Linked DNA regions of Rattus norvegicus. The protein of the gene in region 1 binds, or shares a complex with, the protein of each later gene. Links are inferred from orthologs where the notes say so. Each region holds a gene or a part of one and is shown on either strand. Other genes may lie near its edges. The genes, in order: Atp2b1 and Nptn.

Region 1 (3,819 bases):
CACCACTCCCCCTCCTCAAGTAGGCAGGAGGGGAATTCATTCCATGCCTCCCTTTCTCACTCAGCTGTATTTACACTCTGTGCAAAGGGCCAAGTTATTTAGAATGATGGTTCTCAACCTCCCTAACACTGCAGCCCTGGTGAACCCCATCATAAAATTACCTTTGTTGCTTCTGTACAACTGTAATTTTGCTACTGCTATGAATTATAACATAAATGTGTAATGTGCAGGATATCAGATATGGGATATAGATACACACACACACACACAAGCTTGTGACCACTGATTTAGACTAACACAGCTCACAGATGGGGTAGTAAGTCCCAGAAGACAAACATGAAGAAAGATAGTAATTTGAAGGGACACATGACCCAACCATATATTTTTTAAATATACATTCTATTTTCTATTTGAGTAAATGTCTTAATGGTCATTGCACTGTTAAGATAATTTTAGTGACTACTGTTTTCTTCCAGAATGTTTGTATCAGGTATAAGTAAATGGTGCCTTCATTCTTAAAATTATTGAAACAAAGGTGAACATTTCCATGTTATAAAAATATTTACATTTTAACTAATGTAAATGCTCAGCTGAATTGATTTTATCCTCTTAAAAAACATTTTTTTTGAATGACACTGGTTTATTGATCCCAACTGTTGGGACCAGAGTGACATTTTTAGGCTTGTCTTTTAACCTAGTTTCCTGTATACAGCAGACACCCAAGGAGAAAGGCAAATTGTTAGGCCGTGTAAGTCCAAATGGTTGCTAGAAAGAAAACTCTGAAACTTGGTGTCTTTTCCTTGATTTTTTTTTTTTCAGAGTCCCAGAGGGTGGTGTTTTTGGAATCTGTTCTTTCGGAGAGAACTATAGTGATTAAGTTACAATCTTTTATACACCTGCCCCCCCAAAAAAACCATTAACACTTTTGTAGAAAAATGGCATATACTCAAATACTTATAGCTGTTTAGTATTATAGATATATATTTGGGTTCATCTTTATTTTCAATTCAGGAAGGAGTGGGGCAGATGTGAATTCATTGTGGCATCCGGCTTATATCTGCTTGGCTTGTTCATAGTTGGTGACACCCTAACTCCTGGCATGATACAGAGCTCCCTTTTGTGCTTGACATTGTTTAGCTTGAATTGTTTTGAGAAATATGTGCTTTTTGATTTAAAGATAAATTCAAGTAAGCTTGTGTATGGCCAAGTTCTCATTTCGTTTTCTGGTTTTTGTTTTCGTCTTCGTAGGGAAAAAAAAAAAAAAGCCTATAAAATGGCTGTTAAATATTTTTAGCCAGTAACAATGAGATTTCGTTAGTTTTTCTTTGAATGTATACCTCTTAATTAGAGTATGTGGTTTCGTTGTTCTGTAGTGTCCTACTAAAATATTCATTTTTTTACAGTGTATTGCAAGTTCCACATTACATGCAAATACGATTCACTCATACCTAGCTGTTTGTGGATTCAAACTCATAAGTGAACCGCTGCTGGGGTTAAGTTCCTGGTGTCCTGACATCCCCCTGTGTTTTGTGCTGTTTACAGATCCGAGTGGTGAATGCATTTCGTAGCTCTTTATACGAAGGGTTAGAGAAGCCAGAATCAAGAAGTTCAATCCACAACTTTATGACACACCCCGAGTTTAGGATAGAAGATTCAGAGCCGCACATCCCCCTTATCGATGACACTGATGCTGAAGATGACGCTCCTACTAAACGCAACTCCAGCCCTCCGCCCTCTCCTAACAAAAATAACAATGCCGTTGACAGCGGGATCCACCTTACAATAGAAATGAACAAGTCTGCTACCTCTTCGTCCCCAGGGAGCCCACTGCATAGTTTGGAAACATCACTCTGATTGTAAGCTGAACGTTAACACACTAGCCGCACTGTAAAGAAACAAATTGAAACTGAGTCTTTTCACACATTGTGACGGACAAGATGGCGTTCTTGTCTCTGGACTTCAACAGAAGACACACTTGTACGAATGTAGATTTATTTTTTTAAAAAAAAAAAAAAAAGCAAAAGCTTTCTGCCAGACCGAGGGTGCTTTTTTGGGGGTGTGGGAGAGACGAACTGACAGATAAACAACGGCGCGAGTGGCCTGTGGGTCGTCAGTGGTACCTAACCTTGTCCTGACCGTGTACTAGCAGAGCTGTGGTTTATCTCAGTACTTGATGGGAGGGAGGGAGGAGTGACGCTGGGTGAGACAGAGAGCCCTGGATCATTGAGTGAATACTTTAATTTCTGCTGTTGGCTGTTAATAATTTGGATTATTTATGTTTATAAATGATACAGATCTGTTTACAAGGTTTGTAGATACTTTTTTTGTTCTTCATAGATGGGAGGCTTCCTTATCACTAATGCAGAGAAAAATTAGTCGTTCAAATACTGCTGTATTTTCAGGAAAAAAAAAGGGGGGGTGTTTCTATTGAAACTGTACTAAATTTTTGCCTACAATTTATCTTGTTAAATATGTAGATAAATTGCTAATACTAATAGCCAAATAGATAACACTAATGCTTTGTTTAAAAAAGAAAAAAGAAAAAAGAAACAAGACAAAAAAAAACATAAAAAAAAAACCATGAGCAGTGGTGTTCTAAAGAAGTCATGGCATCTGTCCTAATTAGTTTCTTAAATACATTTACTACTTAATGGTTTTGGAAGAACTGTTTAATTTTTAAATTTTTTGAAAACTTGCTAATAACCTTTTGTTCAGAATTTAGTAGACTGTTTATTGCAGGACATCCAATACACAATGAAAGATGCTTGAAATGCCTTTGTTATTTCAGGCCAATCAAATTAAACTATCAAACTACAAGAGAACCTTTAGTCTTTTTTTGTTTTTGTTTTTGTCTTAACTACGTTAGTTCAGCGATGTCTCGGTGAACTGTGAGTGACTGTATTGATTTTTTTTTTTTCTAATAACTCCTTAGAGACCTTTGCAAAGCGTAGGAGGGCTGTCAGCATTTGGAAAAAGGTTAATAGGTAGAGGTGTACATGCTTTCCTTCCGTTTTTTGGAACTTGTTTGTAAACATAAATAAATACGCCCTTTTATTAAATAAATACACGGTAATGGTTCTTCAGACAGCTCAGCTGCTTGGTTCTGTCTATGTGCCGCCTTGGCCCGTCTCCTCTAACCACAACTAGAATAAATTTCAAGCTGGTAACGGCCCCCAGGAAGGGCCTTTTGTATTCTTTCATGGTCACCCCGTAGAGTCAGGCCGAGACGGCACAGTTTTGCCAGCTAGCATACCCGCCAGAGAACCTAGTTTAATCCAGTCTCACCGTTTTATACGAAGTGACGACCACCATTGTCCCTGATGCATTTGTTTTTACTGAGTGGCCCAGTAAGAGATTAGATAATAAGGATGACACAGGAAAATCTGAGGAAGCTCCTGCACGTGATCTGTGTAGATGTAACAACCAGCTGTACTCCGAAATGCCCGTCTCTGAGACAGTTGAACTTCCGGGCTCTCTGCTTCTTTTCTGTCTACCTTCTTCCTTTGTTTGCCTCTTGTCTTGACCCTTTGGAGAGTGGTATTGTTTCAGGGCGCAGATCACGCCAGATAAACAATCCTCAGGCTGACACAAAGTTTACGAGGACTACCATATCCAAAAAAACAAAAAACAAACAAAAACAAAAACAAAAAAACAAAAAAAAAAAAAAAACGCTGACTTAGCAAAGAAACATCTAGTTTGATGGTGCTTGATAATTCCTTTTTCCGGCGGGCGGGAGGACTCTTTCTCTCTCCATCAGTTACCTGCAGTAACGCTCTGCAAGTCTTAGAAACACATCGGCTCTGTCACATTGATCACTGT
Region 2 (3,819 bases), on another chromosome or scaffold:
TGAGCTCCTCTGGCTGCAGTACTACATTTGTGTTTGACACCAGGATGAAGGTGAGACATTTATTTCTGTGGCTCAGTGCTACCCAGTCAAAGTCCAAGAGAGATGAACATTTAGAAATTCAAGTATTTTTACTTATCACTGACTTCTATTTAGAAGCAATAGGTAGGCCCCTAACCCTAACCACCATGTTTATGTAAAGAACATATTATGGCAAAGCCAGCCTCAAAACTGGACCCATTTCTCTTTTGGTTTACATTATTCAAAGAGCTTTGGGGAAAGTACTGGTATGTCATTCTTAGAAGAATTCAACCTCCCTCTAGAGGCAATGTTTCTAAGGAGCCTAAGATCACAAAACAATTTAATTAAAGTTAAATTCAGGGCATTAAAGTTAACCAACTGATATGGATATCCAGGAAGAGACTGACTAGCCAGGTTATGGCTCAAGTATATGCAGATACCCATAAATTAAGAAACAGGTTTCTAAGTAAACGGGTAAGTACTATGTGCTCTTAGGAACTGATGCATACTTAACTCCAAAGCTCTAATCTTCTACTCCCTACATACAGTCTTTTTAGCTACAAGTTAATATTCTTGGGAGTGAAACTACCTAATGCCCAGTCTATAACTATGAACTTCTAGAGACCTTTGTGGCCATTTGGATAATTCTGATTTTTGTTTAAGGAAAGGAGCAAGGGGGCAGGAGAAGGAGGCGTGCAAGGGGAAAAAATTGTTAAAAGAAAGAAAAATTGCTGGGTTAATGTTCCCCATTTTCACAGACAGGTTTTCTTTTCCTCTTCACAGAAGCAGGGTCTCTGATTCAGCAGTACCAACTGCAACAGCCCCTCCTGTCTCCCTTTCACATCCCCTCCTCCAGTTTTCCAAGTGAATACAAAGCAGATACTAATTTGACTTTTTTTCTCTAAATATACATTCAAGTATATACATTCAGTTTTCCAAATCTATCGATTTAGGGTCTCTGTCATAGTACTATGTTATCACCAAATTGCTCACAAAAACAGTATTTTACTACTTAACTTCATTCTCTCTAAATCAGTCAGGTCTCTCACTGAGCCACCCAAAATCATGCAACAGTATAAGAGGCCCCTCTATTGAATTGAGAATGCCCCTCAGTCAGAACCAAGTCAAATGCAGGACTAGAACCCTTCCTAGTGAGAGCCCAGATTTTGTGATGGGCTCTGCTTCCTACCATACAGGTTTCAGAAAGAAAACTGGTCACCCAAACCTAACTTGTACAACAGACACAGGACTGTAGAGAACTTGGATTGAGATTTAACTTTTTTTTTTTTAAGACAAGAGACAGTGTGAATGATTTCCAAACTATTTTTGAGTTTATCATCCACCAGGATTAGGAATTTTGTGAAAACATTAAAGTCAAGCTGTCTGTGGATAGGAACCAGATACAATTCTGACTTTCAAGACAGCATGATGAGAGTTTTAAAAACAATATAATTTTCAGCTTCAGAGCACCTAGCTCCTGATAGCAGGACTAAGGGAGAGAATCTCAGGCAGCTGCTTTAAACAAAACAGGCTCAGTAAGAACTGTGCTGTTGCATTGGAGTGCTGCTGTCAGAGAAGCACATGCCACTGCTTTAGAAAAGAAAAAGAGCTGGAGCTGTGGAAATACCCAAGCTTACATGCCACCCAACAAAACACATATTACCACAGTGCACCATGGCAACATTCCTATCAACAGAACAGGATGACACCAAGTCACAGCGAGGGAAAAGGCTGGGCAGACACAAATTTAAAACCATAGAGGTGAAGGCAGCTAGCTATTCAGAGCGAGCTTCCAACAGATAAACAGGGGAAATAAAAAGTAGTTAGAGTGGGGAGAAAAATAAAAATAGAAAGGCACCAGAGAAGCACTCAGCAAAAGGATAGCAGGAAACCTACTACAAAATTAAAGAGGAGGGAAAAAAACAGTTTCAACTACCCTTATTCCACTGCCTGGCATTTGTGCTATTAAAAAAATTTTTGTTTCCCCAGTTCTCCCTCCCCACCTCTTCCCAGCGAAGCTGACTTTGGACACAGTCATGGATTTCCTCAAGTTCTTTGTTCCTGAGAAGAAAGACACAGAGAAGGGTTGGGAGATAAGGGAAATAGAAAGGACAGCAAAAATAAATAAATAAATAAATAAATAAATAATGTAGCCACAAATGTTTTCAGACATTACAACCAAAAGGGTCATGAATTTGAAAAAACAAAGACAAGGGGTGGGGTAAGCAATTATATTAGGGTAGAGGGAAAGGAAGCAGAAGGGAAGGATCATTGGGCCACCTCTAAAGACTACAGTACTACTACTGTAGGGTGCTGGACTCACTCTGAAGGACGCTTATGGTGGCCTGGGCTCGAATCCATGTTATGGAAGGGTTTTGCCTCAAGTCATTCCGTTTGGGGTCGTTGCTTGCCCTGCACTCGTAAGTCCCAGAGTCCTCCAAGGTGAGCCGGGTTATTCTCAGCACACTCACGCCGTTTGACCCGTAGGCGGTGTTTACGGTGACACGGCGCTTCCGAGCACCGTCCCACAGCTGTCTGAAAGACTCTGCCCGGTTGACTTCTGCGTACCACCACTGGATCTCTGGCGTGGGACTCCCGACCACATCACAGTACAGCTCAAAGGCGTCCCCTGTGAGCTTAGTTTCTGACATGGGCGACTTGACAAACCCAGCTAGAGGGAGGGGGAGCAGGAATGCAGTGACAGGCCAATCAGAAAAAAAAAAAAAGAATCAACAGGTGTTAATAATTTAAAGGAAAGAAAAGAAAAGAAAAAAGCAAATGAGTTGCAGAGAACAAAAAAGGATTCATTTTTAAACTATAAAGAGACAGTAATAGCAATTCATACAAGCTTTTAGAAGAAGAACCACCCTGGGAAGCTTATGAAGCAAAGGCAGGCCAATTACAAGCTGGGGCAGCCCAGATGCTGGCCAGGCAGAAGCAAGCCCACTGGAAAGCATTTTAGCAATGGGCCCAGCTGGAAGGAATGAGAAAGCCTTAAGTCGTGGGAAGAACATCCTTCCACAGAGCACAAAACCATTACCTTTCCAAACTCAGGCAAATGATGGAAGATAACAGGAAGTGGTAATGGGTTTTTATGCCAAGTCAGGATCATTTTTGAATGGGAAACATTTCATTAGAGATGCAGTACCCTTCCTAAACCTCAACAAGAAGTGCATTAACTAATCTAGTACCTTATTATTCAGAGGCCCAATTTCAGCTGAAGGGCGGCAAATTTCTCACATGTAGGATACTATCCTTAGTTTAGACTTTTCCATCTCCTAATCTTCCCTAGGCCCATAGTAAACAAACAGCCCAGCTGTCTATGCATCTATATGAATTCTATCTGAATACAGATCCTCAGGACCAGAAAAAAGGCACAATCTGTACTTCACATCAAAGTGAGAACTATTATACTCAGTTCAGGAGCTGAACCAACAGTAACAGCAACCCAATCAAATGCTAGTGAAAAGATAGGGACAATACTCTTCATGATGCTATAAATTCTACTAGTAAAATCTCCTGAAAAGCCAGTTTTTGAAATAATTGTGGCTCTTGAAAGAGTCTTCCTAAAAAGGGCAACTGCCTGTCTACTTGCAGTCAATTCAAAGAGGATGAGAAATGTATACTGATGAACTAAACTGCGGGGTGAAGGTTATGCTTCAACTTGCACTTAGGCACTGCTCAGAACTAAAGCTGATGCCTACTTCTACTACCTGCCCTTAACTTGCTTTCTATAAGACAAGTTAGGTTAGTAATAGCAGAAAGAGTTTAAAAAAAATATTGTCTAGACTTATTTTAAAA

What was found.
Region 2: the proteins of Atp2b1 (region 1) and Nptn are in contact, whole or in part, in a cryo-EM structure (PDB 6A69), measured with the Homo sapiens proteins. The link is inferred for Rattus norvegicus from reciprocal best matches to the Homo sapiens genes ATP2B1 and NPTN. Residues at the interface, in NP_001353449.1 of Homo sapiens: Phe954, Asp955, Ile956, Asp957, Glu996, Arg997, Asn998, Val999, Glu1039, Gln1040, Leu1042, Trp1043, Ile1045, Phe1046, Met1049, Gly1050, Leu1052, Leu1053, Gln1056; in NP_036560.1 of Homo sapiens: Arg245, Ser246, Asn248, Arg332, Arg334, Pro339, Pro342, Phe343, Gly345, Ile346, Glu349, Ile350, Ile352, Leu353, Ile356, Ile357, Tyr360.

What each region holds. Positions count from the first base shown.
Region 1 is NC_086025.1:35,726,907-35,730,725, forward strand, and holds part of Atp2b1 (plasma membrane calcium-transporting ATPase 1), read left to right. Parts: intron 1-1,542; coding exon 1,543-1,854; 3' UTR 1,855-3,819. UniProt on the Homo sapiens protein: Catalyzes the hydrolysis of ATP coupled with the transport of calcium from the cytoplasm to the extracellular space thereby maintaining intracellular calcium homeostasis.
Region 2 is NC_086026.1:67,926,919-67,930,737, reverse strand, and holds part of Nptn (neuroplastin isoform 2 precursor), read right to left. Parts: intron 2,690-3,819; coding exon 2,342-2,689; intron 1-2,341. UniProt on the Homo sapiens protein: Probable homophilic and heterophilic cell adhesion molecule involved in long term potentiation at hippocampal excitatory synapses through activation of p38MAPK. May also regulate neurite outgrowth by activating the FGFR1 signaling pathway.